Canis lupus familiaris: one gene and its partners. The main gene of each other region encodes a partner of the protein of the gene in region 4 in a complex. Links are inferred from orthologs where the notes say so. Each region holds a gene or a part of one and is shown on either strand. Other genes may lie near its edges.

Region 1 (4,097 bases), on a different chromosome or scaffold from region 4:
CCGGTTGCCTGACCTCGGCTGACTATTGAACGCCGCCGAGCCTCGGTTTCCTCCTTTGTAAACGAGAACACAGCGCAAGTACGTCCAAAAGAGGTTGTGAGGAGGCGGGTATTCAGGCGGGTCACCCAGCGGCACGCCTGCCGCGCAGCCCCTCCAGCCCGCCCAGCGCCCGGGTCCACCTGTGGGTATGGCTTAACTGTCCCCGCCGGAGGACCCGGCGCTGTTCAAAATTTGCATATAGTTTTGGAGCCCTCTCTAAGAAAGGAGGGGGGCACCTGGTGGCTCGGGTTGAGCTTCCGCCTTCGGCTCCGGGCGTGGTCCCGGGGTGCGGGCATCGAGTCCCACCTGGAGCTTCCGGCAGGGAGCCTGCTTCTCCCTCTCCTAGGGCTCTGCCTGTCTTCTCTGTCTCTCATGAATGACTTAGAAAAGGACAAAATTGGGAATTTGTGATTAGCATAGCGACACACTGGCACATCCACACATAGAACACCACTGAGCAATCAAAAGGAACAAGCTGTTGGTACAGGAAAAGGCGTGGAGGAATCTCAAAATAAATTCTCCTAGCTAATAGGGCCCGGCCAAAGAGAGGGCACGCCCTGGGCTTCCATTTACATAAAGCTACTCCCCGTGGTGACAAAGCAGGTGTTTGGGGAAGGACAATTTTGGAGCTGGTGGGTAGGTTTCTTATCTTAATGGTGGTGATGGTCTCAGAGTGTGTATACACCCATCCATCAGTATTTAGCAAACGGCACACTTTAAGCATGCATTTGATTGCATATGCCCATTCCATCTCGGTAAAGCTGGACACACTCGATCAGGGCCGTGGAGGGGATCGTGAAGGCCACAGGCCCTGAAAGTTGAGCTTTCTTAGCTTGATCAAGGCCGTCTCTCTCTGCCTGTGGTTTGCATTTTCCTGGGACGCCGAGAACAATCCTCCAAGTGCGGAGTTGGAGTAGCTAGGTTGCTGCAGGAAGGGGATGATTTAGGGAGGTCGCCTAGTTCTCTGGTGAGCAGCGACTCTGGAGACCACCTCCCGGGCACAAAGAAGCTCGAAGAAATCCGGAGCCCAATGAGACCTCTTTTTTTTTTTTTTTTAAATCCAGAAAATTATGGGTAAGGCGGCAGTAGGCCCGCAGGCTTTTCTCAGGGGCGCACGCAGAAGCTCAGACGCCACAAAAGGCGCAGTACTTCCCAGAGGATTTCTCGCGGCAGGATGTGTCCTGCACCGCGACTCGTAGAGAGCCCTGGGCACGATACCAGCGCGGCTTCTGATTGGCTCCCTGCCGCGCGCTACAGCGTGCCTGGAGCCTGCGCAGAGAGACCGGGCCGGTAGAGGAGATGTCTGGGCGATCCAAGCGTGAATCTCGTGGTTCTACCCGCGGCAAGCGCGAGTCCGAGTCGCGGGGCAGCTCGGGTCGCGTCAAGCGGGAGCGGGAAGCCGAGGCGCCGAGCTCCCGGGGCAGTCCAGTGCGTGTGAAGCGGGAGGTCGAGCCGGTGAGCGCGCGCGAGGCCCCGACGCCAGTCGTCCCGGCTGTGCGGGTGAAGCGGGAGCGCGAGGTGGACGAGGACTCTGAGCCTGAGCGGGAGGTGCGAGGTGCGCGGGGCTCGGCTGGGCGCGGGCTCCACTCTCGCTCTCTCCTTTTTCCATTTCCAACCTTCCCTGGGGGTGGGGGTGAGTGGGGAATTCACACTCCCTGGTGTCCGCGACCGGACTCGACTGCCTTGTGGGGAGGACGGTACTAGTTGTCTAAGACTGTAATTTTGCCTTCCGGTCCTGGATATCGGTATACGGTTATACTTTAATAGTAGCTCTTAAACTTCTTGCTTAGAATCCTTTGTTTGGGGCAGCCCCGGTGGCGCCCCGGTTTAGCGCCGTCTTTAGCCCAGGGCGTGATCCTGGAGACCCGGGATCCAGTCCCACGTCGGACTCCCTGCATGGAGCCTGCTTCTGCCTCGGCCTGTGTCTCTGCCTCTCTCTGTCTCTCTCCTGAATAAATAAATAAATAAAATCTTAAAAAAAAATCCTCTGTTTGAACTATATTTGTATTACATATAGAGTCCGGAATAGCACCTTGCTCATAGAGAGTGCTTGATAAATATTCGTTGAATAATTAATTTCAGGATATTCTTTGATTTTTTTTTTTGAAGTGCCTTGTCAGCTTCATGTTTCCCTTTCTTTGGAAGAGACGTTGTTTCTTAGGTATTTTGTATAGTTGTGATAAGATTGTTTTTTCTGGGACACACTAGAATCCCATTTGTTCTTCTGGTTTATCTTTTTTGTTTTCGTTTTGTCTGTCCCTTTTTATTTTTATTATTTTTTTAAATTTTTATTTATGATAGTCAGAGAGAGAGAGAGAGATTGGCAGAGACACAGGCAGAGGGAGAAGCAGGCTCCATGCACCGGGAGCCTGACGTGGGATTCGATCCCGGGTCTCCAGGATCGCGCCCTGGGCCAAAGGCAGGCGCCAAACCACTGCGCCACCCAGGGATCCCTCCCTTTTTTATTTTTATGATGAAGTAGATCACAGGCACTAAGATGGACCGAATATAATGCACAAGTATGGTTTAAAGGAGAGTGAAAACATACATCCTTAAATTTGCCATTTGTCAAGAACTGTGAAGGATTTGAGATTTTATTTGCAAGCTGCCTAGGTAGCCTGCCACAGTTTTCTGGATGCTAATGAAGGCCGTGGAGTTTGTAGTGTCATTCTCCACGGTGCAGTTTTTTGTTTTTTTTTTTTTTTAAGATTTTACTTATTTATTCATAAGAGACATAGAGAGAGAGAGGCAGAGACACAGGCAGAGGGAGAAGCAGGCTCCATGCAGGGAGCCGGACGTGGGACTCGATCCTGTGTCTCCAGGAACAGGCCCTGGGCTGAAGGCAGACGCTCAACCGCTGAGCCACCCGGGCTACCCTTGAAGGGAACTTATACTCACAGTGGAACTCTGGGCTTACAGAGTTTTTTATAGTGGTTTGTGAACTTGCCTCCTATTTGCTCTGTGGGGAGATCCCTGTGTCTGTCTTCCAATGCTGTTTACTACACATCTCCTTAACAAGGTAGTCTGAAGGCAGATAGTGCCTCTGGTCACAATATGGACAGAAACATGAGAGACCCATGGACAATTGTCTCCTAATGCTATCACCATTAGAAGTGGTACATAACCAATACCTTAGAAGCTCCCATACGCCCCTTCTCAATTGTATCTACCTTCTTTACTTGCTTAGGAATTGACTGTTCTGAATTTTTTTCTAATAATTTCTATTTTTAGTTGTATATCCCTAAATACTACTAGTTTTACTTTGTATTTGATATAAATGGAATCATACTATATGTGGTCTTCTGATTTGCCTTTTTTTACTAGCCATATTTTTGAGGTTCATCCAAATTGGTGTTTATGGCTACATAGTGTTATATTGATGATATACCAAAATATGTTTATCTGTTTTATTTGTGGTGGATATTTGATTTGTTTCCAGTTTGGGCCCTTTCAGATACTGCTGCTATAAATATTTTTAGTAAAACACTTCCGGTGTACATATGCAAAAGTTTCTCTCAGGTTTATAAGTAGAGATTGCTGGGTCAAAGGTTCTCAGCTTGATCTTGCTGTACTGTTTCCAGGAGGTTGTAACAGTTTATACTTCACCAGCAGTACATGAGCATTTCTATTGCTCTCTGTATTTGCCAACACTGGGAATTTTCTGATTTTATTTTTTCCTTTCTGGTAGGTGTGAAGTGGTATATCATTGCACAAGGAAATTGGCATTTTCTTGATTGTTAACAAGGGTTATATTCCTCATTTTCTGTTGGGTTGTTGTTTTCTTATTGCTTCACCAGATTTCTTTATGTAATCTGCAAATGAGTCCTTTGTTGGTTATATGTGTTTCAAATATATTCTCCCAGTTTGGTGCTTGTTCCATTAGTGGGCTTTTTGGTGTATTCCTGGGTTACCTGTGTATGGGTTCATCCTGTTTAGTTTTTCTCATTTTTTGGTTTGTACTTGTAGTTGACCCTGAGTACGAGTTTCCCATTTTCACAGCCTGTGATGATTTCCCTTTCAGCAAAGAATGGCCGTGTGGATTCTGAGGATCGGAGGAG
Region 2 (4,060 bases), on a different chromosome or scaffold from region 4:
GGCTGGCTCAGTTGGTGGCGCATGGATGGGGCTCTTGATGTGGGGGCTCTAAGTTTGAGCCCCACATTGGGTGTAGAATCACTTAATAATAAAAATCTTCCCTTTTTAAAAAAAAAAAAAAGGTAAAATCAAAGAAATAAATCAGATACTCTCTTAAGTCCGATGTAAACAAATGGTAGAGGAAGCCGAAGTTCCAAGGGAGAGTAGGGGAGGGAAAAAAAAAAAAAAAAACCCTGCCGTACAGGTTCCTCACTTTTCTGCAAACTTTGTAAAGCTCGCCACTAGGAGGCAGTACCGAGTGATGGGCAAAGCTGCTCGCTCAGGAGGCCCAAGGGCAGAGGGCAGGGGCTCTAATCCCACACGCCAACCCTCTGGGACACTAGCTTCATCTTCACAGTGGACGCTGGTTTCCTCATGTTCTGCCCTCTGTTGTCTAGACTGAGTGAGGTACGGCAGTGTAAGTGCCTGGAACACAACTTGGCATTTAGTAAACGCCCAATAAACACCAGCTATTATTATTATTATTATCATCCTAATTGTCCTTGGGGGGGGGGGGGGGGGCCTCCGTCCGGCCCGAGAATCACCCAAACTTCAAGCATCTCCACCCCCGACAGGGGGGAAAGCCCTGGCCTTGCTCCTGTCGGATGCCGCAGCCCGCCCCCCCCCCCGCCCCCGCGGTACCCAGGCCGTGCAGAGGTGCCCGTGTGCACTTGACAGGCATCGCCTCACTCCGACCCCGGTACAAACACTCGGCTGAAGACCAGCAATAAAAGCAGGCCGTGGCTCCTCCTCCGGGCCTCCGTTCTACTTGGGAGCTGGTGGCCGCCGCCCGAATCCACTGCGCATTCAGCCCGCTCCAAGGAGGGCCCTGGGACAACCTCCCGACAGCGGGGAGGGCGACCAGCTGCAGAGTGGCACCCGCGGGCCCACAGCGAGGGTTTCCATGGCAACCTGGCCCTCCGCTCCGGGCCCACCGCAGCCCCTCGCGGGGCCGGGGGCCACGGCAGGCCTCGGAAGCCCTCCATTTGCTCCGGAGCTCAGCCCGCGGCCGCGCGGCCCGACGCACCTACCTCTTTCCAAGCCTGCTCGGCCTCCTCCCGGAACCCCGGCGGCGCCCACCGCGAATCTTCAGCTAAGCGAGCGGGACTACACTTCCCAGACTGCTCTGCAGAGTCTCGTCCGCCGCGTGCTTTTCTCCTTAAGTTCACGCTACTCTTGGCGCCACGACGCTTCCCTACTACTACTCCCGTCATGCCCCACGCCACCCACGACGCTGCGTCGGCCCACTTCCGGCCAGTGACGCAGTTCCGCTTTGCCGGGCGCGCGGTGGACGGTCTGAAAACGCAGAGCTCGGCTTTCGCCGGGGTTTGGCGGCCGCGGAGCTCAGCATGGCTTCCTCACGAGCCGCCTCCACGGTACGGAACTCCACTCACTCTGGCGGGGAGCGCGGAAGGGGCTGGGGGGGCGGTTCCTGCGAAATGGGGTCCCTCGGGGAACGGGCTAAGGCGGTGGAGGTCGGAGGTGAAAGGCTGAGAGACTCGGTCCTTAGAGGAGCAGCGTTTTCCAGACCCCGAAGTACGTTCCCGTGTTTTATTTATTTTTATTTTTGTAAAGATTTTATTCATTCATTCATGAGAGACACAGAGAAAGGGGCAGAGGCACAGGCAGAGGGAGGAGAAGCAGGCTCAAGGCAGGGAGCCTGATGCGGGACTCGATCCCTGGACTCCAGGATCACGCCCTGGGCCGAAGGCAGCGCTAAACGGCTGAGCCACCCAGGGATCCCCCCGTTCCCGTGTTTTAATTCATTTGCACCCCTCACTACAGGCCCGAACGGTAAATACCTCTTCCGACTGCTCCAAAACCTGAGCTCTAGAAGGCCCAGATTCACGTCTGTGTCAGACTTCATTGCAGTTTGGCCTCCTAACTTCATATGTGTTGCCTTACTCTGAAAACGTTTGAAATGTACCGAAAAGTAACTAACTTGCCCCCCTTTAATACTGCGTTGGTTGTTCTCCTTGATACTGCCCCTGTGATGAGGGGTAACCTTGGAAATTTCATAAAACCCAAGAAGAGGTTGCCACGGAATGATGCAGACATGTTCCAAAGCAAATCTTTGATAGAAAAGTTACCAAGAATAATGATGGACTAGTTCTATTAGCCTCTTCCCGTCTGCAGAACCTAAGTAGCTTGGAGAGACACCCCGCCCCCCAGTCAGTGAAGATAACCTGAACTGGTGTCCGACCTGTCCTTTTCATTTGGGGGGAAAATAGGATTGAAGCTCAGGATGAGCTCCATCCTTTGGGGGAAGCCTAATAAGTGGTTAGTATCAGACCTTAGGTTAATCCGTGTCTTTGATTTATCAGGCAACCAAAACTAAGGCACCTGATGACTTAGTTGCTCCTGTTGTGAAGAAACCACACATCTATTACGGAAGTTTGGAAGAGAAGGAGAGGGAGCGTCTGGCCAAAGGAGAGTCTGGGATTTTGGGAAAAGAAGGACTTAAAGCTGGAATTGAAGCAGGAAATATTAACATAACCTCTGGTAAGATGCAAATTGTGAGTCCCTCTTTATCTTTGTATTATAATATCAAAAATGTTAGTTAAACTTGGATCTATGTAAGGCCATCCTTTGCCTACCCTGGTTAGCATCATCTAGAGAGCCTTTTTCTTTCTTTTTTTTTTTTTTTTTTTTTAAGATTTTATTTATTTATTCATGAGAGACAGAGAGAGAGAGAGAGAGGCAGAAACATAGGCAGAGTCAGAAGCAGGCTCCATACAGGGAGCCCGACATGGGACCCGACCCCAGGATCCCACCCTGGTCCAAAGGCAGGCTCTAAACCACTGAGCCACCCAGGGATCCCATAAAGATTTTATTTATTTATTTTTTTAAGATTTTATTTATTTTTTATGAGAGAGAGAGAGAGACAGAGAGAGGCAGAGACAAAGGCAGAGGGAGAAGCAGGCTCCATGCAGGGAGCCCGACGCAGGACTCGATCCTGGGACTCCAGGATCATGTCCTGAGCCGAAGGCAGATGCTCAACCGCTGAACCACCCAAGGTTGTGAGTTCAAGCCCAGAGTTGGGCTCCACACCCACACTTAAAAAAAAAAAAATCCTCATAGTCAGTGTGTGTTTTATTTATTTATTTTATTATTTATTTATTAGAGCATGAGCCAGGGAGGGGCAGAGAAGCAGATACCCCACTGAGCAGGAAGCCTCACTTGAGACTCGATCCCAGGACTATGGGATCATGACCTGAGCGAAAGGCAGATGCTTAACCGACTAAGCCACCCAGATGCCCCAGTGTTGGTTTTAAAACTAACTGCTAGGTTATCCAAAAAGTCTATAGTTAAGGGAAAGCCCTTTAATGGTAATTTTCTCCAGTTTACTAGTTAAAGTCATAGATATCCTCAGCTGGGGCTGGTTTAGAGAATAGGTTTGGCAAGTGTTAAAGTACTGTATCTATTTTATCTTCTGGATAGAAGATCTAGTTAACTCATTTGCTGAAAGTGCTTTGTACTTCTACTTTCTGATCTCCTCTAAGTTATGTGTGTATGTAGATGTAAGGTTGTCAAAACAAGATGATGTGAGGTAAGCCTGCGTGGCTCAGTTGGTTAAGCGTCCAACTCTTGGTTTTGGCTCATGTCGCGATCTCAGGGTGGTAGGTTCTGAGCCCTGTGTTGGGCTCCCTGCTCTACAGGGAGTCTGCTTCTCCTCCCTCTGTTCCTCCCTGCACTCCTGCACTGTCTCTCTCGCTCTCTCTCGTAAATAAATAAAATCTTTAAAAAAAAAAAAAAAAGATGACTTAAGTAATTTTAAATGAGCTATCATTTAGTTTTTTGTGTTTAGCAAAATTTAATAAACTGAGAAACAATAAAGTATGTAATAAATTAGTTCCTAGAGGATACACAGACTGCAATTGTAAGAAATTATTTTCCCCTCTGTTTGAAGATCTAGTGATAATGCTGATATTACCTGTTCTTCTTATAGGAGAGGTGTTTGAAATTGAAGAGCACATCAGTGAACGACAGGCCGAAGTGTTAGCTGAGTTTGAGAGAAGAA
Region 3 (3,500 bases), on a different chromosome or scaffold from region 4:
GGACATCAGCGATGAGGGTGAGGGGCCTGTCCAGCCGGGGCAGGGTAGGGGTGGCAAGGGCCGGGCTGAGGGGCCCTGGGCAAGGAGGTGATCTGAGCAGGGCTTCCCTTTGTTTCTTTCAGAAGAGGCTGGAGGACCACAGTCAGGGTCCCCAGAGGTGCTGGAGGAGGATGAGGCAGAGCTGGAGCTGCAGAAGCAGCTGGAGAAGGGGCGTCGCCTGCGGCAGCTCCAGCAACTCCAGCAGCTGCGAGACAGCGGTGAGAAGGTGAGGGGGCCCAGGAGCTGAGCGTGGGGTTGGGGGCATGCTGACCTCCTCAGGGCCAGGGCCTTTAGGGACAGGTGTGTCCATGGTGACCTGTCCTCAGGAGCATGGCACCTTCATTCCAGTTTGGAACTCTTTTGTGTGTGTAATGTCATGTTGTTAGCAGATTTCTTTAAGATCAACCAGTGTTTTGCTCTCAAGATATTTTAAAGTTGGAGCCTTCCCTGTCTTCTTTCCTTCTATGGCTGGGTGTTGCATTCCTCCTGGGAGTAAGGATTGTCCCCGGGGGTGGGGGTATCACTGGTGAGCAGGACAGCGAGGGGCCCTGTGTTCTTGGAGCTGCCTCTCTAGCTGTGGCCTGAGGGCAGGGTAGCAGTAAGCGTGTGTGCACATGCGCACACAGCACTTCTGGTAGCACCTGGAGCTGGGCAGACCGTCTGTGGAAAGCGGAGCAGATGGCTGGAGGGCTGGAGTCTTGGGTCTGCTTTTGAGGGGAGACCTTGCAGGGGATGGCATTTGAGCTGAGACATAAATAACAACGAGGAGCCAATCTTGCAGAGATTCAGGGTGGAGGTGGGTGGGCAGACTGGGCACTCAGGTGGTAGAGACAGCAGGTGTCCTTGGGAGGAGTAGCCTAGAACACTTGAGGGCCTGGCAGTATGAGCCGGACAGAGGCCAGTGGGGCCTTATGGCCATGACCACTGTTGACCCTCAGTGGGCACTTGCCTGGGCCAGGCCCTGCTTGCGTGCTTTGTATATCCAGTGACTTGATGTTCACTGCAACACCTTGTGAGGAAGGTTCTGTTATCTCCGTTTTATAGATGAGGAAACTGAGGCATAGAGGCCTTAGGGAAGTGACCTGGGGTTACATGGCTGGTAAGTGGCAGAGCTGGGGTTTGAACAGCCTGACTCCAAAGTCCACGCTTTTCACCCTACCCCTCCCAGCTCAGGGGGGAGAGACTGGAGCAGTGGCCCAGCCCGTGGGGGCTCCTGCTGTGGGGTCAGAGAAGCAGCAGCCCCTGAGCTGGAAGAGAGCCATGGGAGTGGGTGGCACAGCAGCCAAGTAAGGCTTTTGAGGAGGGGGAGTAGGGAGTCCTCTAATTCCTGAGAGGCAGGTCCGATCTGGAATAATAGAGTCAGCAAGACTGAGGAGGTAAGGAAGCCAGGCCAGCAATTGGGGACAGTCCCTCAGAGCGAGAGCAGGTGGACTGTGCGAATGTTGGAGGTGCAGCGGCGGGTGGTCTCGGCCTCAGTGACCCAGGTGCTCTGCTGCAGCAGGGAACATGGCCCTGGATGGTGTGGTGAGTGGGCGTGGCTGTGATCCAAAAAGGCTTGGTTGGCAAGAGCAGGTGGTGGGCTGTATGCTGTCCACCGCTGCTGCAAAGAGGGTCAGAGAAATGGGGCGGTAGCCAAAAGGGGTGTGAATGAGGATAACCAAGAGTGCAGAAGTCTGTCCTTGTGGAACTTTTGTTCTAGTGAGAGGACATGAAAGAAGACATAAACAACATCCAGTAGGAAAACCACTGTGAGCAGAAACAGGAAAAGGCCAGGTAGTGGAGAGATGAGGAGTGAAGAAGCGCTCCCGTTTTAGGTCTTCTGGTCAGGGTGGGCTTCCCCGAGGAGGTGACCATTGAGATCCAGATGAAGTGTAAGTATCAGTGACATCTAAGGGCGCAGTCCAAGGTGAGGGAACACCTGGCCCCTGAGACCCTGAGACACGAGCCACTGGGCTTGCTCAGGAAGTTGGCTGAGGCCTGCATGGCTGCAGGGGCAGGAACCCCAGGGAGTGTTACAGGGAAGGAGATGGTCACGGGCCATTCAGGCAGAGACTTGCTGTTGCGGTAGATGTAGCCATCAGAGTTCTGTCTTTGGAGGAAAAGCAGTGGAAGGCTGTTGCAGACATCCAGTTGGAATGACGTCGACTGTGATGGTAGCCGCAGAAACAGGAGGAAGTGGCTGTATTTGGAATGCATTTTGAGGGTAGAATCAACAGCGCTCATTTGTAGATTGTGTGCAAGATTGTGAGTGGGTACAAGAAGTTAAGGATGACTCCCAAGAATTCTGACTTGAACAGCTGGCCTCTTGCTGAGTTAAGGAGAGGGTAAGGCCATTCCTGAGATGGGAAGAGCTGGGGAGATAACAAAATGTTCGGTTTTGGTTAAGTCTAATAAAAAGTGCTTTTCTATTAGGGGTATTTGATACTGAACAGGCAGTTGGATATGTGAATTTGAACTTTAAGGGAAAGGCTGAGACTGGAGTTATAAATGCAGAAGTCATTTAAAGTCCTAGGATCAGCTGGAGTCATCAGGACGGTGAGTGTGGAGAAGGGAAAGTGCGTGAGGGTAGCCAAGAGGAGAGGGTCATGTGACAAGGTCCTGAGTCACGTGACAAGTGGCTCTTGAGAGGAAGCGTGTAAGCATCTGTGACGCATGCTCCAGAGAACTTGGGTATTGGGGATGAGCATTGACCTTTGGATTGGGCAACATGGAGGTCACTGATGGTCTTGTCTAAATCGTGGTCTTTTGGGGTGCGGTGGTGGGAACTGAGAGCCAGACCACACAAGTTTCAGCAAGGCTGCCAGGTATAAGATTACCAGATAAGAGCCAGTTGTGTTTACACACACCAACAAGAGAGAGAAAGTATAACTTTAAAAAAGGTACTGTTTGTGAAAGCAGTATAAATAGTAAAGTAGCATAGATAAGTGATAACAAAATGGATAAGAGAGAGGCCGATTGCAACAAAATAAAAAGGAATAAATGATGTGTGAGATAGGGATCCCTGGGTGGCGCAGCGGTTTAGCGTCTGCCTTTGGCCCAGGGCGTGATCCTGGAGACCCGGGATCGAATCCCTCGTCGGGCTCCCAGTGCATGGAGCCTGCTTCTCCCTCTGCCTGTGTCTCTGCCTCTCTCTCTCTCTCTCTCTCTCTCTCTCTCTGTGTGTGTGACTATCATAAATAAATAAAAATTAAAAAAAAAGATTTAATGATGTGTGAGATAGATCTCTATGGGGGAAGTTGCAGTCCATCTTTGAAAGACATTGAAGAAGACATAAATAGATAGACTGTGGTTTTAGGCAGCTAGGGCTGCCGTGACAGAATGTCACAGACTGGGTGGCTTAAGCAGCAGAAATTTACTTCTCAAAGTTTTGGAGTCTGGAAGTTCAAGATCAAGGTGTTGGTAGGTCTGGTTTCTCCTGAGGCTTGTAGGTGGTTGTCTTCCTGCTGTGTCCTCTTATGGCC
Region 4 (4,105 bases):
AGCTCAGGGGGTGATCCTGGAGTCCCAGGAGGGGAGTCCCACATCGGGCTCCCTGCAGGGAGCCTGCTTCTCCCTGTGCCTGTGTCTCTGCCTCTCTCTCTGTGTGTGTGTCTCTCATGAATAAATAAAATCTTTTAAAAAGAAAAAGAGAGAAGACTTGAGATAATGAGACTCACAAAGAAAGCCATGTGAAGACAGTGGCAGAAATCAATATTTCTGGGTGCCAAGAACTATGAGGATTGCTGACAAACACCAGAAGTTGGAAAAGATGAATGGGACAAATAGCCACTAAGAATCTCCAGAAGCAATCAACCCTACTGATACCTTGATTTCAGACTTATGAATAAAGCTCTATTTTTTTTTTTAAGATCTTGTTTATTTGAGATAGCAAGCAAGAGAGAGAGAGAGCACAAGCAGTGGGGAGGGGAGGAGGAGATGGAGAACCACAGAGGCTCTCCACTGAGCAGAGCCCCACACAGGGCTTGGTCCCAGGACCCTGGGATCATGACCTGAGCAGAAGTCAGATGCTTAACAGACTGAGCCACCCAGGTGCCCCAAATTCTGCTGTTTTAAGCCACCCAGTCTATGGTAATTTGTATGGCAGCCCAAGGAAACTAACACATTTGCCTATTTTTTTTCCTTGCCACCTGTCTTCTCAACGGGCTCCTAAGTCCCAGGAGGGCCAGTTTCGTCTGGTTTGTTCACTCTGTGTTTCCAGGAACAGACACCTAGCAGGTGCTCAATAAATATTTATCACACGCCTGGGTACTAAGTGCTTTTACCTAGCTTAACTCCTTTCATCCTTACTACAACCGAGGGTAGACACTATCACGAGGCCAATTTTCAGAGGGGCAAACTGAGGCTCAGAGGGGCACAGTCAGGATTCCAACCTAACCAAAGGACATGCCTTGGATAAGGATCAACTACAATAACGAAAATCAAAAGTGTAGGAGCCCTAAGGGAGACATTAGGCACAACCCAATAACCACGGAGCCTCGATTTCTTCCTTTGCAAATTGCAGCAATATCCGGCTTTGCCCACAGCGCGGAGCCCAGGAGGGCTGAGAGAGTTTCACCCGCGCATGCGCCTTTACCCATAAGGCCCCCTGCGCTGGCGCACGCGGTTCCGCCCCCGTTTTCAGCACTCACGTCGACACTTTACGGCCTCTCATTTGGCCGGCGAGAACACAGCCAACCTCGCCCGTCGTTGTCTAGCCGACCCCCCCTACTCCGCGTGGATTGGCTGCTCGTCCCTCGAGCCCCACGCTGATTGGTTCGTGTCGCTGCCACTTCATTTCAGCCTAGTGGCGCGCGGCAGGGCGGCTACCGGCGGCGCGTGAGTGGCGGCGGCGGCGGCGGAAGTGGTCGGCGAGCCCGCTCCCCGCCGACACCATGGTGAGGGCAGGGCGCCGGCGAGGTCTCTTCGGGAGGCTGGGAACGCGGCGGCCGAGGGCCCTCGGGGCGGGCGCTGCAGGCAGGGGCGACGCGGAGCTAGCGTGCTGTCAGGGCCTCGGTTCTGCCGCCTCGGCCCGTGACGGGCACACTGAGGCCGGAGAGGGCAGGGAGGTCTCCCAGAGCATCCAGCCTGTCAGTCTCGGGGGGAATAGACTTGGACGAACGTGTAATCCTAGGTCAGCCTCGCTGCAGTCTTCCCATTTTGCAGATGGGGATACTGGGGCCTGAGAGACCCGCTAAAGGGCTCGGTGAATGCTGCAGAGGGAGTTCGGGCAGGGGAGTGGCTCCGAGTGCATCCGACCCAATCTAGCTTCACATATTGGGAAGTGGGAGCGACCCGAGGGGGCCCGATCTGAGTTCTCAAACTAAACCAGTTTGAGAATGTCAAGATTTGCAAGGCCCTTAGAATGTTAGCACGATCTTCTACGCCTCTCGTTTTAAGGCTGAAAAAAATAGACCCAGAGAGGGGGCTTTGTCTTCTCCCTGGATCACACAGGGTGTCGTTTCCGGAGAAGGGGAAGCATTTTGAGCCTGGAGTGGACTAACTGCACCCTCCCATTTCACTGAAGAGAAATTGAGGTCCTGGTGAGAAGCCTCTTCTGGATCATGCTGTTATCAGATCCTGAAAGTTCTGGATTTAAGTCAGAGTGTCTCCTGCCTTCAGTGTCCAGACAGGGAGGTGCGTCCGGCTGGCTCAGTTACAGAGCCTGCCACTCTTGATGTCGTGGTAGTGAGTTCAAGCCACACGTTGCTCGTGGAGTAGAGCTTACTTTTTTTTTTTTTTTTTTTAATGTATAGACAGGGAAACAAGACCACACAAATTCAGAGCAGGCCTAGGAGAGTACCTGGCCCATCAGCACCAGAGTCCCTCAGGGTCCCTGCATGTTTCTCAGCTGAGGGTTGCACTAAGTACTGCTCACTGGTGCAGGAAATGAGAGAAGGGAGTGTAGTGTGTTCCTCTCTGCTGGAGGGCAGAGGTGGCCTGAGAGGAGGGGTGGAACTGGAAAATTCCTTCTTCCTTAAGCTCCCTGGATCTTTGGATTTTATCCCCCAGTATGTTCCTAGAGCCTAGAACAGTGCTTGTGCAAAGAACATATTTTTTTTCAGCCTGAAGAATGTCCAGGAAGGGACAAGGCATGACACACTCCCAGTTCCCCGTGGGTTATAGTGGGGCCGGAAGCAGGGATCTGAGGGTATAGGGGGGCAAGGGGGAGTCCGTAACAGCTTCCTGAATTGGGAGCCTCAGGAAGCCATCGGGTCTAATCTTAGATTGGTCTAGACCTGAGAACCAGATTCCAGACATTCTGAAAAAGGCCAGGGGAAAGGATGCTTTTTCCAGAAGCTTTTGACTTTCCCAACTCCAGGTGGCCCTGTCTTCCCTGGAATGGTGTCCTGGCTTGTCCCATCTCCCTTGGCACCTTCAAAAATTTCTTCCCCACCAAGTTTTTTAAAGTTCTCAGGGATCTTCCCCTTCCTCTTGCCTCTGTCTCCAGCAGTTTGGGGATGAGAATCTCAAAAATGGCAAGATGTGGACCCTGCTCCCAGCCTTTGCAGCCGTAGAGAGCTGTCCCTCCCAATGCCGCCTCTCCTTTTCTTATCTGTGGGGTGGGGCAGGCATCCCAACCACACCATGTGCCTCCCCGGATGGTGTATGCATTTTCTTGTGTATTTGTTCAGCAAATATTTACTGAGTCCCTCTCGAGTGCCTGGCCCTGAGCTCGGTGTTGGACAAAGTCCACACCCTCTGAATTTTCCAGTCTAGCCAGAGAGACATAATAAACAAGATAATTAGAGACTGGCTGTGTCCTAGAATGGAAGCAGCAGGGGGTGGCCCAGGTGGAAATCTTGATCCCCAGATGAGGTTATTATGAGGGCCTGGCTAAGCTAGGTGAGAGGTGATATGTGAGCAGCCACCAGCCTGAGGAAGGACTGCTGAGGCCAAGGGAACTGCAGGAACAAAGGTCAGAAAGCTGGACTGGGTGTGGCTTGCTGGAAACCGAATGGGCCACTTTGGCTGGAGCTGGCTTGGCCTTGTGACTCCTTTGGGGAGTGGATGTGCAGGGGAGTGTTGGGAGCAGGTGTGGATCACTTCTGTGTCTTAGATGTCCTCTCTGCTGCTTTCTGAATAGGGCACTGCCCGTGACAGGGAAGCTGGGGTTCTCCAGGACTGTGCTGCCAGTTGCTGGGACAAAAGAGAGGCCAGCAGGGGCATAGAAGCTGCACATGCCATAAAAGGACTCCTGTGGGTTTCCTGGTGACAGGCTTCAGCTTACTTTTCGTGGGCTTCCCCAGGATCTTGCTGTGGTGTCCCTGGGAAGGTCCCTCCTGCTCTGGCTGCTAGTCCTTCATCTAGGGGGACCTTGGCTATACCTCTCTGTCTCTCAGTGCTGAGTCTGTCTTTATTCTTGCCTTCCAGGCCCAACCTTGCTCTGTCCCCTCTTGGGTGATCTGGAAGGAAGACCCAAGGGTGTCATTGCCATCCTGGTCCACATTCCCATCTTTGACACAAGAAAACAGGCTTGCTCGAGAAAGCCTGAGACTTCACCTAGTAAACAGCGGCCGAGGCTCATGGCCCCCGTGTGTTAGATCCTCCTGCTTTTCCGTGGCTCTCTGTACCCGGGTACCATCGCACAGATGAAGTCCAAATGAGA
Region 5 (3,975 bases), on a different chromosome or scaffold from region 4:
AATAGTGTGTAGCTAATGCATATTTGTTCCATGAATGAATGATGTGTGTATTACAACTATCTGTTGTATGAATGAATGATGTTTTTTTCTGCTCTCTCCTGTTTAGACTCGTCAGCCTTACGTTCCTGGGATACAAATATGAAACAGACTTAAGGCAGAGAATTTGTTTGCTTTCTATTCTTTGCAAAACAGAAGTGCAAAAAGCCTGGGATCCCTGGGTGGCGCAGCGGTTTGGCGCCTGCCTTTGGCCCAGGGCGTGATCCTGGATACCCGGGATCGAATCCCACGTCGGGCTCCCGGTGCATGGAGCCTGCTTCTCCCTCTGCCTGTGTCTCTGCTTCTCTCTCTCTCTCTGTGACTGTCATAAATAAATAAAAATTTAAAAAAACAAAACAAAACAAAAAAAAAACAAAAAGCCTTAAGGTTTCCTGTGTGATGACATTAGCGGACAGTGACATCTGGTGGCTGCTTATAAGACAAGACAGTTAAGTGTTGAAAGTGGATACAGTCTGTGATAAATTGGACTCCTAGCTACAACAAGGTAAGAATGATAAGGTAGTAGGCATAAAAATAAAATGTGTTTTAAATTTCCACTGTAGAAGGTTTTTTTTCTTTTTAAATGCTGGTTGTGGGTTTTCAATTCACTGGACTTTAAAAAGAAGCACTAGATTCTTTTTTCTCTCTTCTTTAAATAGGCTCCGCACCCAACGTGGAGCCCAACCAGCGGATCCTGAGATCAAGACCTGAGCTGAGATCTAGTCTGAGGCTTAACCCACTGAGGCACATGGGCGCTCTAGGAGTAGATGCTTTGAAAAACGGCTTTTACAAAAACTGCAACACAGTGCATTAGTGGCAAAAAAAAAAAAAAAAAAAAAAATTTTTGGTTCGGTCTGAAAAAAGATCCTGGCTTGAGATGAGGTGCAACTTCATAGCAGAAAATAAGACGATTCAAAGATTTCCGTATTTTGCAAAACCTTCCGGGTTGCAGGAAGGATTTATTCACAAAGCAGGATCCCTTTAGCGTCTGTCTGTCGGAAACTGCCCGGGGAAAGCCGCTACGTGCCCAGACCGCACCACCTGCAGCGGACGGAACCTTCTCCCCGAGAGCTCAGCGCCCGGGAAAGAAGCGATTGGGAAGGAGCGACTCCTGCGGACTGATTGGATCGCAAGTTCGGCCTCCGATTGGTCGAGCCTGTCCGGGCCGCGGGCCGGCGGGGGGAGCGGAAGCGCGCTCTTTCAAACTTGCCGGGCTGACGGCGAGGCCGGCGGGCCACTTCCGGCGTAGCCATGGCGGCCAACGCTACCACTAACCCGTCGCAGCTGCTGCCTCTAGGTAATCGCGGAGAAGGGGACCGGAGGGCTCAGGCTAAGTGTTGGGGCCCGGGCGGCTGCGGCTGAAGTAGCCCTTGGTCGAGTGTTAGGGAAATGTGGGGATGAAGGGCCTCAGTGCTCCGCGGCTCGTCTGCCGGCTCCCGAGTGTCTGCGGCCCCGGGCCGCCCGGGAGCCTCTCTGCACTAGGCACGAGGGCTGGGCGCTCTTGGACAAATTCAGACGCCTCCCACTGCCTGCGGATAGCACACACACCAGGAGGAGATAGAGCGCTCCACCTGTAAGCATCACGCCGAGTGATAACGAAGCCAGCTAACGAGGCGTTCAAACTGCGGTCCGAACACAGAGATAGTGACAGGAAGAAATCTCTGGTGGATACGGTTGTGCCTCTTCCGATATTTTGTAGCCAAAGAGTTGATGGAGTTATCGGAAGTGGCCTTGTTTTGGAAGTTTTCATTCTTTGATTCCACCAACTCTTTTTGAACGCTTGCTATGTGCCAGACATTGCCCACTGAGGATAGAGTCCTGGGAAAACAACCACAGTTGTTTCATGGGGCTTAGACTCTTAAAAAAAAACATCAAACAAACATTTTTATTCATTCATGAGAGACACCCAGAGAGGTGGAGAAGCAGCCTCCATGCAGGGAGCCCGATGCAGGACTCGATCCTAGGACCCCAGGATCACGCCCTGGGCTGCAGGCAGGCGCTAAACCGCTGAACCACCTGGGCTGCAGGGGGTGGGGGGGGCTCAGATGTTAATTATATATTAATTATGCATTTCGTATGTTAATCAAAATCACTTAAAATAACATTAAACCACAACCGTGATGGATAAACTTCAACAAAGGAGAGGTAAGTGGTAAACAGGACGTTTTTGTTTATGCAACAGAGATAACGTACCGTAAAATCTCTAAAGTTTTTGAATGAATACTTTCTCTGGTTTATCTTTCACAGTAAGTAACTAACAAGTGCCAGTAGGCATTCCAATATTTGTTGAAGAAATGAACAGGTAAAATAATCTTTTTTTCTCCACCCCCCCACCCCTCTTTTTTTTTCTTTAAAAAAAAAAAATATATATATATATATATAGAGCTCGTGGACAAATGTATAGGATCAAGAATTCACATTGTGATGAAGAGTGATAAAGAAATTGTTGGCACACTTTTGGGATTTGATGACTTTGTCAGTATCCTTTCAAAAGGTGGTGGTGGTATGGGTTTTCCTGCAGTACTTAAGAACAGAAATAAGAATATGGACAGTCAGTACGTAACTGGTTATTGTATTAGAAATTTATTCACCTCTTGATAGCGTTTTAAGAGGTGTGTGTACTGAAAAAAGATAAAGTTCCTACCGATTACTAGTATTTTGCTCTGGAGCCATTGTATTAAACGTTGTAATTAAAATGGAGTAAAGATAGAAGCCAGAGTAAATTCAACCTGGTATATGTATTTTTCTTAACACCAAATTTCAGATATGGTACTGGAGGATGTCACTGAGTTGTGAGTAGTGTTAAAAATTAAAGAATTGGGGGGAATCTCTCCTTAAGTCAATTTTAGTATTAATGAGTTTAAAATGATTAATGAGAAAACATTGCCTGTCAGAAATACCTTAAAGATAGAAATTTTATCTACTGACACTGGTAAAATTGGATCAGTTATTACCGGATGTAATTATTATGTTATTATTAATGACTGGTAGGGACTTAGTGGAGACTGAGCTTTGAGATAAAAGATACTAAAAACAGCCAAGGATGTTTGTGCTCAGACAAATCAAGGCATTAAACTTAAGATATAAATGATAGCTCCATTATATTAGTTTTAAAGATCACAACCAGTGTCTGCTTTCAAAATTGAGTTGATTACAGATTGGTTTAATGGGTAAGGGATTAGTAGTAAATAATAGTAAAAAGGTGAGGCTAGTAAACATTCCATTTCATATTTGATCTCTTTGGCCAGTTTTAGCTTCTTTTAGTTTTGATCCTAGTGGATGTGGATCTGAGGCCAGTCAGTTCACTGTGTTGCCTTTGGTCATCCAGTGGATAACCTTTGTCTCTGAAAACTACTGACATAATTGCTCAACCTCATATTCATATAATATAAGAATAACTTTTTTAGGGATCAGAATGTTGGCTTTGATTATCATTGTTTATCTTGACTCTTTTATTTCTTCATTTAGTGAAATCACACCAGAAGGAAGAAGGATCACTAAATTAGATCAAATTTTGCTAAATGGAAATAATATAACAATGGTAAGGTACAGTAAAGCTGGGCGTTTTTTTAGATGTAGCCCATTTTTGTGAGGCAGAGATTACAGATTACTTGGCTTGGTTAAATAAATGTTCATGGCCCAGTGGGTTTAAGTTGGGAATGAGATGCTCCTGTGATCAGGGCTCTAAAGCTGAGCTACTGAACATGACAATAGGCTTAAAGATTAGTTTGCTTGGGCTTTTTAATCTTTTGGTTTGCCAAGAATCATTGTTTAGACTCTAAGTATTAATTGACGATGTTGGGATTATAAACAGAAGCAATGACCTGGAGAAAATGGGAATGTGGGGGAGGAGCAAAGAGGCCAGGTATCTTTGATGGGTGAAAAGGGGTTTTTAGATGATGGGTGTGGTGGTGGTATTAATAAGCTCTTTTTCCTTCT
Region 6 (4,214 bases), on a different chromosome or scaffold from region 4:
CTGCTGCAGCACCTCTTGTCGCTGTGCCTCCTGCGCCAGCCCCATCCGTTGCAGCTTCTCCCCGTTCAGCCGCAGCAGCGCCCGGCCTGGGAGCCAGGGGTTGAGCAGAGAGGGGTTGAGCCAAGGTCAACCTCCAAGGGGCATTAAGAGCCGAGGCAGAGAGAGGGAAACGGGAAGGGGACACAGAGACACTCAAGGACACAGAAGGAGAGGCGGAGACAGCAGGATTTAGAGAGGGAAAGAGAGTGAGAGGCAGAGGGGAGGGCAGAGAAAAGCCATGAGAACGGAGCAACACGCCGGGGAGACTGCGGAGAGAGAGCCCTGGCAGGAGAGGTTGGCCCAAGAGGAAACCGAGGAGAGACAAATGACGGCAAGAGAGACAAAGGCAGGCTGGGGGGGCTCTCCAGGGGATCCTTATGCCCCCCCATGCCACAGCCCCCAAGGGCACCTGTGATGGCGTGCTGGGAGAAGGCCTCCACGTAGACGAGGTAGTTGTGGGGACAGTGCTTCTTGAGCCACTTGCACACGTCCTGCTGACTCCACAGGACCACAGGCCGCGTCAGGCCGCCCAGGGAGGGACTCGTGTGGTACAGGCCATAGTGGTCAGAGTACATCCGGCCCTGCGGGGGAGACGGGTGCCGGGTGCGGTGAGGTGGTGGGAGGGCAGGGGCTGAGGGGGGACGGCGGGTGGGTACCTGGGGGGCCTCTGTGCCAGGCTGCTGCAGGAGCTTGACCGGCCGGCCACCAGCGGCCCTCTGGCTACGGGAGTCGTGCCATGTGAGGCTGGTGCCTGGCGTCCGAGGCAGGTGGCAGGGGATGCTCTCAGCGGACACCGTGTGCTCCAGGAGGGTTCGGCAGAAGCTGAAGTGTGCAGTGGCTGCGGGGCATGGGCGCCTGGTCAGGGCGGTCAGGGCCGGGGCCAGAGGATCGTCTCTCTGCAAACCAACTCCCTGCTCAACCCATCTTCCCTTGAACACGAGGCCCCTTTTCCCAATCGGGGGGCCCCAAGCCCCCAGGGACAGGAAGGAAGTGCGCAAGAACGGTCCTGCGTAGCCCGCCCAGCCCAAAGCTGATGGCCTGGGAGCATCCTTCCTCTTCTGGGCGCACTGGCCGTGCTCTGGGGAGCACGAGGGGTTCCGCATAGGTTCGAGAGACAGTGTGCCCACCGGGGAGCCTAAGGTTCACAGTCTGGTGAGGAGCTACCCTGAGACAGGCCTCGTCTCACCCTCGCTCTAGGCTGACGCACGCTGAGCCAGACCAGGGCACGCTGCGGCCCCTCTGTCCTGGGAGGCCCTGCGTCACGGCGTCCCCGAGAATGCTGCCTGCCATCGCCACTGACGGCACCCCAACTCTGCAGCCATACCTGGCGTTTGAGACGTGGCTCCTGCCGTGCGGTGCTCACCTGCCAACCCCTCGGCGGGAAGCCTGAATGAACTGCAGGCAAGCCACCCCGGGAACCCTGCTCTGCCACCTGTCGCAGGGCCCTTGGCCCAGGACAGCTCCCGTGGGTGGGCATCCAGCGGACATGGGCTGCTCAGCACAGGTGTGCAGGGGCCAGCCATGAGCTCGGGGAGCCACGGGGACACCTGGCGCTTTCTTTCCACAGACTTCATTACACTCCTCAAGTTTTAGTTTCGCTGTCCTTCCTGGGCTCGTTGCTCACATAGGTCACGGGAGGGCAGACACCCTAACAATGGCCTCCTGACCCTTGCACAGGTCTGGGCACACAGCAGGTGCCCAGGAACACTGTGGCTGGCTGGCTGGGTGGATGGAGAAAGGCTCTGTGTGGTGTCCACAGCCAGTAGAGCCCTGGGGAGAGACAGGAAGCTGGGCCCAGGCTCGCCTTCATCTTTACAGCACCTAGGCCCCAACTCGGCAGGCAGAAGCAGGTTCTCGGCCAGGGCCCTCGCCTCCCTGGCTCTCAGCCCTAGAATGAGAGACCCTGCCTTCCATGGACACAACCCAGTGCCCCCAGCTGAGGGCAGGGAGGGGTTGGCTGTGTGCCCAGGAGTTCTCAGCCATGGGGAAAACCCATCACTTCCCCCTTCTAGCCCTTCAGATTCCTCCGATTCAGCACGCCGTCTTCATACTTGCAACTTTTCGGAATTGGATGACCCCAGGTGACTCTAAATTTGAGGTCCAGGATCAAATAGAGGGTGTGCCTGGTGCGGTCCCTGCCTGGATGAGGTTTCTGATATCACGGAAAAAGACTTATTCTAAGCTGGCATCTTTCAGGGCACAGGTTCCAGAGCCACTCGGCCTCGCCTTGCAGGGCCTGGCGGAGTGGGCTGGCCGGGTCAGGGGCAGAGGCAGAGGCAGGGGCAGGGGCAGGAGCAGGGGCAGCGGCAGGTTCAGGGGCAGGAGCAGAGGCAGGAGCAGGGGCAGGGGCAGGGGGCAGGGGGCAGGAGCAGGAGGCAGGGGGCAGGAGCAGGGACAGGGGGCAGGAGCAGGAACAGGGGCAGGAACAGGGGAAGGAGGCAGGGGCAGGAACAGGGGCAGGAGCAGGAGCAGGGGCAGGAACAGGGGCAGGGGCAGGAGCAGAGGCAGAGGCAGGAGCAGAGGCAGGGGCGGGGGCAGGAGCAGAGGCAGGGGCAGGAGCAGAGGCAGGAGCAGGGGGAGGGGAGGAGCAGGGGCAGGAGCAGGAACAAGGGCAGAGGCAGGGGCAGGAACAGGGGCAGGGGCAGGAGCGTGAAGCTCTGGCCGAGGTGGGCGTCGCCGCGGCGCTGCACCTGTCGGGGTCCAGCGGGCCCCGCCCATTTGCTGCCCAGGCTAGGGGAACGATCTGCGTCTTTCTGTCTGTCCGCCCGTCGTTCCGTCCCTCCCTCTTAGCCCCAACGTCAGAATTCCACCATGAAACGGGGCCGGGGGCGTCCAAGCCCAGCTGTGGCCTCGGCTCCTGTCGGCCCCACGGCGGAGCAGGGGAGGGAAGGGCGCGCAAAGGGAAAGGTGACCGCGGGGTGGGCCAGCGGGGGGCAGGAGCCCCAGCCGTAACCTCCTCCAAGCCAAGGGTGCGCTGATGCCCCGGCCCGAGGCCACCCCCCATCAGGACAAAGGCACCAGGGACCCCGATCGGCCAGGATGCGGCCCCCCTCGGCTCAAGCCGCCGCCCGCCCGCGCCGTGGTCAGCCCTGCTCACCGTCCACATCCCGGCGCTCCCCGAAGCCGGCGCGCACAGCCCCGGCGCGGCCTCGCGGGGGGCTCAGCTTGGTCCTCAGCTCCGTGAACATGGGGCCCAGGGATCCGGGCCGCGCACACGCCCCTCGCCGGGCGCCAGGCGGCCGTGTGGCCGGCGGGGAACGCGCGCCGCCTGCCCGCCCCGCCCGCCCCGCCCGCCCCGCGCCCGAGCCGGTCCCCGCGCCCGCCGGGCGAGTCTGCGCGGCGAGGCACCTGCTCCCGAGCCCGAGCCCGGGGCCGGGCGCGCTCGGGAGCTCCGCGGTCTAGCGGCGGCGCGCAGCTCTGCTCTGCAAAGGGAGCCTGCGGGGGTCCGGGCGACCTTGCAACCTGGCGGTGGCTTCCAGGACGAGCGCCTGCACCTCCCGGGGGGCCCACCCCCCGGGGGCCTCTGAGGCGGGGAAAGGAGGAAGCCAAGGTCCCGGCGGGAGGGCGCGGGCCGGAGGCGGACATCCTCCCTGGTCCTGGGATGGTCGGTCCACCGAGGCCCAGGTGGAGGGCCAGACCGACCCCTCCATTTCTCACTCCTTTATCCTCGCCTTCTCCAGAGATCTCTCCCTCAAGGGGCACTTGCTCCCCTAGGAGCCTCCCTTAACCCACCGCAGGGGACTCCAGGAAGACAGCCGGGCAGCACCTGTCCCCTTCCCTACGCAGCCCCAGGATCTGGCCCGGGGCTCAGGGGGTGCCGCTGAAGGCGGTTTCGCGGGGCATGGGGAGGACAGAGCCGCTCCAAGGAGGCCGCTGCAGGGAAGAGGGATGCGTCTGTTCCAGGCCTCCCTGGGAAGTGCTAGGGTGGGCTGGGGGCCGCCGGGGTCAGAAGGCCAGACTTGCTACCCACCAAGTTGAGCCTGCACCGCCAGGGGTCTGGGCGCTCTCCCCAGGCGTATGCGGGTGCCAGAGGACGCCCACGGCACCACGAGCAAAGGCGCACTCGGAGATAGAGTCGTCGTGCATGTCCACCTAAAACATGGGCCCAGGTGATGACTGGTACCCAAGCCCAGCACCACGCCCAAGGAGAGATTTGCATGGAATTCACCCCCGAG
Region 7 (3,977 bases), about 12 Mb from region 4:
GCGCATGCGCAGAGGAGCGGCGCCTACACGGCCAGAGGGACGCGCCCCAAAGCCCTGCCCCTCCGGCCTTCAGGCCTCCCGGCCCAGGCACAGCTGGCGAAGCAGGGGTGCCCCCACCACGCTCCACCGCGCTGCTGTAGTGTCTGCGGGGAGTACGGGGCTGGACGGGACCGACAGCTCTGCGCACCACGGCGTGGGGGCCCAACCCGGCCTGCTGCGCTCCTGTGAGCAGCTTCACCGGCTCAGGGCGCCTTCACGCCTCCAGCCGTGACCGAGATCGCCTGGCTCTGTGCCTTCCTCTCTCCCCGACTGACCTCCCCTCCGCCCGCAAGACAAAGGTCCCGAGGACACTTCCCCGACGAGCTTATGGGCAGCGGGCACTGTGGCCGCACCTGCGGGTCTGCCCTCCTCCGTGGGGCACGAGCAGAGTTCTAAAATGGGGCTGACCCCGGTGACCACCCAGTGGAACCCCTCCCCTCAAGTGTGGGAGGGAACCTGTGAATAGGACGGGATGCCACTCCTGCCATTAGGTTACAGGAGGATAAAGACGAAGGAACGGGCACGTGTGATTACGGTCCCAGAATCAGTGCCCTCTCAGCTCACCTAAAGAGATTCTGCTCGGCCGGCCTGACCTAATCAGATGAGCTCAGGGGAACAGGAACTGTGTCAAAAAATTCAAAGCATGAGAGGGATCTTCCCACTGGCCTTGAGGGAGCAAACTGCCATGCTGTGGACAGTGCTGTGGCCAGGGCCGGCGGGCAGCCTCTAGGACACCTGTAGCAGAGCTCGGGGACCCTGGTCCTACAGGGGTAGGACCCTCGCAGGGGACCAAACCCTGCCCACAACCAACAGGGCGTCTGAGACACTCCTTTAGTGCAACCTGAGCCCCTGAGCCCAAGGCACCCAGACTCCTCCTGACAAACACCACAAGATAATAAATTCATGTTGCGTAAGCTGCTAACGTGGTGGCAACTTGCTACACAGCGTAGAAAACCCATATGAGCACCCTGAGAAACGAGAGCTGTGTCTCCTTCACGGGTCCCAGAGCCAGCACGGCGCAGACAGAGCAAACATCTGTTCGGGTTCAAGTTCTCACCACTGCTGGCTACCTAGACTTGCAGGCACCGCGCTGTTAACCACGCCGATGCTACCCAATCGTCCACATCTCCGGGAGAAAGGATCTGGGTCACTGTCTCATGAAACACAACGAAAGCAAAGAGGCAGCTGAAGAAATGAAATGTTGCTCAAGTGCTTGCTTGTGTCAGAAACCACATCGAAGGTGCCTCCAACCCTGTGATCCTCACCACCGCCCGGTGAGGTGGGGGGAGTGAAGAAATGGAGCCCTGGGGGGCGGGGTGAGCTGCCCGAAGTCCCACAGCCAGTGCGCCAAAGAGCTGTGGCTCTGACTCCAGCTGCCTGGTGCTAGGACCCCAGAGGCCACACTGCCTACACGCACCAGCAACACTGGGCCCAGCTCCTGCCCTCCTCACTATTCCAGGGGAAAGATGCAGAGGTCGGTGTCGTGTTTACTGCGTAAAGCGGGGAACGGTGACAGACGGTACCAGGAGCTGACACCAAAGGCGTGGGGCCCAGGGTGGAGGATCAGGGAAGGCTTCCTGGAACAAGAATCCTGAGCTGAGAGCAGAAAAATGACTGTGGAGTTAACCTGGAGTTAGAAAGAGAGACTCCCAACGGCGTCACTCGTGCCAAGCCCCGGCCACCCCACCGCGGCCTCATACCTAACCTGGCCGCACCTGCAGCTCTCCCAGGAATGCAATCTCCACCAGTCAGCCTGGAACTTCCAGGTCAGCCCTCCCGAGCTAGTCTTCCTGAAAGAACCCCCAGCATCCCCCAGAGGAGGGGGACCCTGCCGGAAGCGATCCAGCGTCTGCTCCTGCACCCTCTGCCTACGAAACCCTCTGGGGCTCTGCGCCGTCTCCTAGGTGGGGTGCTCCCTGGCTCGTGAATAGTGGGAGAAAGCTCCCGAGATCTTTGAAATTCATTCACCCAGAGAAGCCTTGTGTTTTAAGCCTGGTAAGAGCCCAGCAGGCGGGTGCACGTCACAGCCTGGTGGCAGCTGAGAGCTCCGCAAGGCTGCCCCTTCCCCGGGAGGGACCGGGCGGCCCAGAGGAGGGCCCACCTGTGTTTAACAGGCCCCTCTGGACCATCCTTGACACCGGGCCGCGGCTCGGCAAGGGAGATGCCTGGTTGGGGTGCCCAAGCTAAGGCATGTCCTGGCATCTGGCGGCATCCGGGGGTTGGCTGCTCCCCTCCCCCCAGCGCCCCGACAGCCCCGAACAATCTGGCTGGCGTCAGGGTCACGAGTGCGGAGCCCAAGGAGCCGGGGCGGGGGTCAGTGACCAGCGGGGACCAGCGGGGGCGGCTGCCTCGGAGCGAGGACCCCGCCTGCGCCTCGGCCGCTTCGGGGTGTCTGCAGCTCCTCCCGTGCCTCAGTTTCCCCGCGTGCACGGCGTCGGACGGAGGCCGTCGCGAGTCCTCCCAGCAAAGCGCTCCGGCCTGCGCCCGGGCATCCGCCACCCTGCTCGCCTCCCGGAGCCGTCGACGGGGAGCGGGCGGCGGGGCGGGCGGCGGGCGGCGGGGGGCTCTCACCTTCGCGGCCTCCCTGAAACTTCACCCGAATCGTCTTGTCGATGTACTTCGACAAGTCCAAGATGCTCTCTTTTTTCTTCTTCTCTTTGTCCTGCGGGGGAAGCAGAGCGCGTGAGGCGCAGAGCGCGGCCGGGTCCCACGCCGCCCGCCCAGCCGGCCCCGCCGCGCGCTCACCGCCATCTTGCCGCCGCGCGCCGCTCTGCGCAGGCGCCGCCGCGCGCCCTTTGACCCCGCCCCCGTGCGCAGGCGCGGAGCGCACACGGCGCAGGCGCGGCGGGGCGCGCCGGGGCGTTGCTGGGAAACATCTGCCGACGCCTGCGGCTCGACCCGGCTGACATGGCGGCGGCGGCGGCGCTGGCGCGGCTCGCGGCGGCCTTCCTGCTCCTCGCGACCCAGGTGAGGCTGCGTCGGCCCCGCCGGCCCCGCCGGCTGCGGCGCCCGGTCCCTCCGCCCCGGGCCCCGCGCCCCGCGGGAGCCCCGCCCGGCCTGGCCTGGGGGCCAGCCTCGGGTCTGCTCGCCCCCCGCGCGGTGGCCCGCGGGCCGGGAGCCGGGCCGTGACCTTGCGGGCCGGCCCCCCCCGGAGCCCTCCCCAGCCGCAGCGTCGCCCAGTTGCGCCTGGGTCTGAAGTCCGGGAGGCCCCCCGGCTCCCCAGGCCCTGCTCCGTCCCGAGGCCCCCGGCCGCCGCCGGGGACGCCCCCCGCCTGGCCCCCAGCCTCAGTTTCCCCTTCCGCGCGAGGTTAGCGCCCACCCGCGTGGTTGCGGTAAGCCGTCCGGCGTGGCCCCCGGTTCCCCACAGGGAGCGGCCGAGAGCCCGCGTCCCGAGTGGGGTCCAACCGCCGCCCCGTGTTCTGTTGCGTGACCTTGGGCAAGGGAGGCCCCAGCTTCGGGCGTCAGTTGCTCATCTGCAAAAGGAAGACGTCAGTGAGGACTCGGCGGTGATGCTCATGGGGTGACAGCTGCAGCGTGCTCCTCCTCGGGCAGCTGGGGTCAGAGGTCTCCGGGCCAGCGGGGGGCCTGCTGCCAGCCGGGGGGTGGACATCCTCCTAAGCGCACTTTGTATTTGCAGGTCCTCCCTCCCCGGTTCCCTGGGTGATGCAGCTCAGGGAGTGGTGTCCCATTAACCTTGAGCTGCCCGCCGCAGGTCCCCATCTCTCTCCTGTAGCCTCCGGTGGCCACTTGCGTCTCACACACCCCCCAGTCCATGGGCGGCACAGCAGGAGGGATGTCTCTGAAAGTGTGTCAGGTCTGGTTGCATCCAGATGAGAGCCGCCCCTCGGCTTCCAGCGCGTGTGGGAGGCCTCTGTGGTTGGGCGGCTTGGGACGCTTCCCCTCCTGTTCCTAGTTTGCTGAAGGCGCTCCGCCTCCGT

Evidence for each region.
Region 1: LSM4 (region 4) and USP39 share a complex: the UniProt entries of both Homo sapiens proteins name them as parts of the U4/U6-U5 tri-snRNP complex. The link is inferred for Canis lupus familiaris from reciprocal best matches to the Homo sapiens genes LSM4 and USP39.
Region 2: LSM4 (region 4) and PRPF4 share a complex: the UniProt entries of both Homo sapiens proteins name them as parts of the precatalytic spliceosome. The link is inferred for Canis lupus familiaris from reciprocal best matches to the Homo sapiens genes LSM4 and PRPF4.
Region 3: LSM4 (region 4) and SART1 share a complex: the UniProt entries of both Homo sapiens proteins name them as parts of the U4/U6-U5 tri-snRNP complex. The link is inferred for Canis lupus familiaris from reciprocal best matches to the Homo sapiens genes LSM4 and SART1.
Region 5: LSM4 (region 4) and LSM5 share a complex: the UniProt entries of both Homo sapiens proteins name them as parts of the precatalytic spliceosome. The link is inferred for Canis lupus familiaris from reciprocal best matches to the Homo sapiens genes LSM4 and LSM5.
Region 6: LSM4 (region 4) and PRPF6 share a complex: the UniProt entries of both Homo sapiens proteins name them as parts of the U4/U6-U5 tri-snRNP complex. The link is inferred for Canis lupus familiaris from reciprocal best matches to the Homo sapiens genes LSM4 and PRPF6.
Region 7: LSM4 (region 4) and LSM7 share a complex: the UniProt entries of both Homo sapiens proteins name them as parts of the precatalytic spliceosome. The link is inferred for Canis lupus familiaris from reciprocal best matches to the Homo sapiens genes LSM4 and LSM7.

The regions. Positions count from the first base shown.
Region 1 is NC_049238.1:39,815,587-39,819,683, reverse strand, and holds the start of USP39 (U4/U6.U5 tri-snRNP-associated protein 2), read left to right. Parts: upstream 1-1,297; 5' UTR 1,298-1,338; coding exon 1,339-1,594; intron 1,595-4,060; coding exon 4,061-4,097.
Region 2 is NC_049232.1:68,050,460-68,054,519, forward strand, and holds the start of PRPF4 (U4/U6 small nuclear ribonucleoprotein Prp4), read left to right. Parts: upstream 1-1,260; 5' UTR 1,261-1,388; coding exon 1,389-1,415; intron 1,416-2,363; coding exon 2,364-2,541; intron 2,542-3,988; coding exon 3,989-4,060. UniProt on the Homo sapiens protein: Plays a role in pre-mRNA splicing as component of the U4/U6-U5 tri-snRNP complex that is involved in spliceosome assembly, and as component of the precatalytic spliceosome (spliceosome B complex).
Region 3 is NC_049239.1:51,806,163-51,809,662, reverse strand, and holds part of SART1 (U4/U6.U5 tri-snRNP-associated protein 1), read left to right. Parts: coding exon 1-17; intron 18-122; coding exon 123-265; intron 266-3,500. UniProt on the Homo sapiens protein: Plays a role in mRNA splicing as a component of the U4/U6-U5 tri-snRNP, one of the building blocks of the spliceosome. May also bind to DNA.
Region 4 is NC_049241.1:45,115,006-45,119,110, forward strand, and holds the start of LSM4 (U6 snRNA-associated Sm-like protein LSm4), read left to right. Parts: upstream 1-1,305; 5' UTR 1,306-1,391; coding exon 1,392-1,394; intron 1,395-4,105. UniProt on the Homo sapiens protein: Plays a role in pre-mRNA splicing as component of the U4/U6-U5 tri-snRNP complex that is involved in spliceosome assembly, and as component of the precatalytic spliceosome (spliceosome B complex).
Region 5 is NC_049235.1:44,955,705-44,959,679, reverse strand, and holds the start of LSM5 (U6 snRNA-associated Sm-like protein LSm5), read left to right. Parts: upstream 1-1,175; 5' UTR 1,176-1,287; coding exon 1,288-1,333; intron 1,334-2,419; coding exon 2,420-2,515; intron 2,516-2,800; coding exon 2,801-2,828; intron 2,829-3,504; coding exon 3,505-3,577; intron 3,578-3,975. UniProt on the Homo sapiens protein: Plays a role in pre-mRNA splicing as component of the U4/U6-U5 tri-snRNP complex that is involved in spliceosome assembly, and as component of the precatalytic spliceosome (spliceosome B complex).
Region 6 is NC_049245.1:48,284,600-48,288,813, forward strand, and holds the start of PRPF6 (pre-mRNA-processing factor 6), read left to right. Parts: upstream 1-1,414; 5' UTR 1,415-1,429; coding exon 1,430-1,440; exon of another isoform or gene 1,441-2,051; coding exon 2,052-2,120; exon of another isoform or gene 2,121-2,328; intron 2,329-3,136; coding exon of another isoform or gene 3,137-3,227; exon of another isoform or gene 3,228-3,295; intron 3,296-4,214. Other genes in the region: SAMD10 (sterile alpha motif domain-containing protein 10), read right to left, coding at 1-86, 449-620, 696-1,142. UniProt on the Homo sapiens protein: Involved in pre-mRNA splicing as component of the U4/U6-U5 tri-snRNP complex, one of the building blocks of the spliceosome.
Region 7 is NC_049241.1:57,200,347-57,204,323, reverse strand, and holds the start of LSM7 (U6 snRNA-associated Sm-like protein LSm7), read right to left. Parts: upstream 2,801-3,977; 5' UTR 2,791-2,800; coding exon 2,785-2,790; intron 2,702-2,784; coding exon 2,611-2,701; intron 1-2,610. Other genes in the region: SPPL2B (signal peptide peptidase-like 2B), read left to right, coding at 2,947-3,006. UniProt on the Homo sapiens protein: Plays a role in pre-mRNA splicing as component of the U4/U6-U5 tri-snRNP complex that is involved in spliceosome assembly, and as component of the precatalytic spliceosome (spliceosome B complex).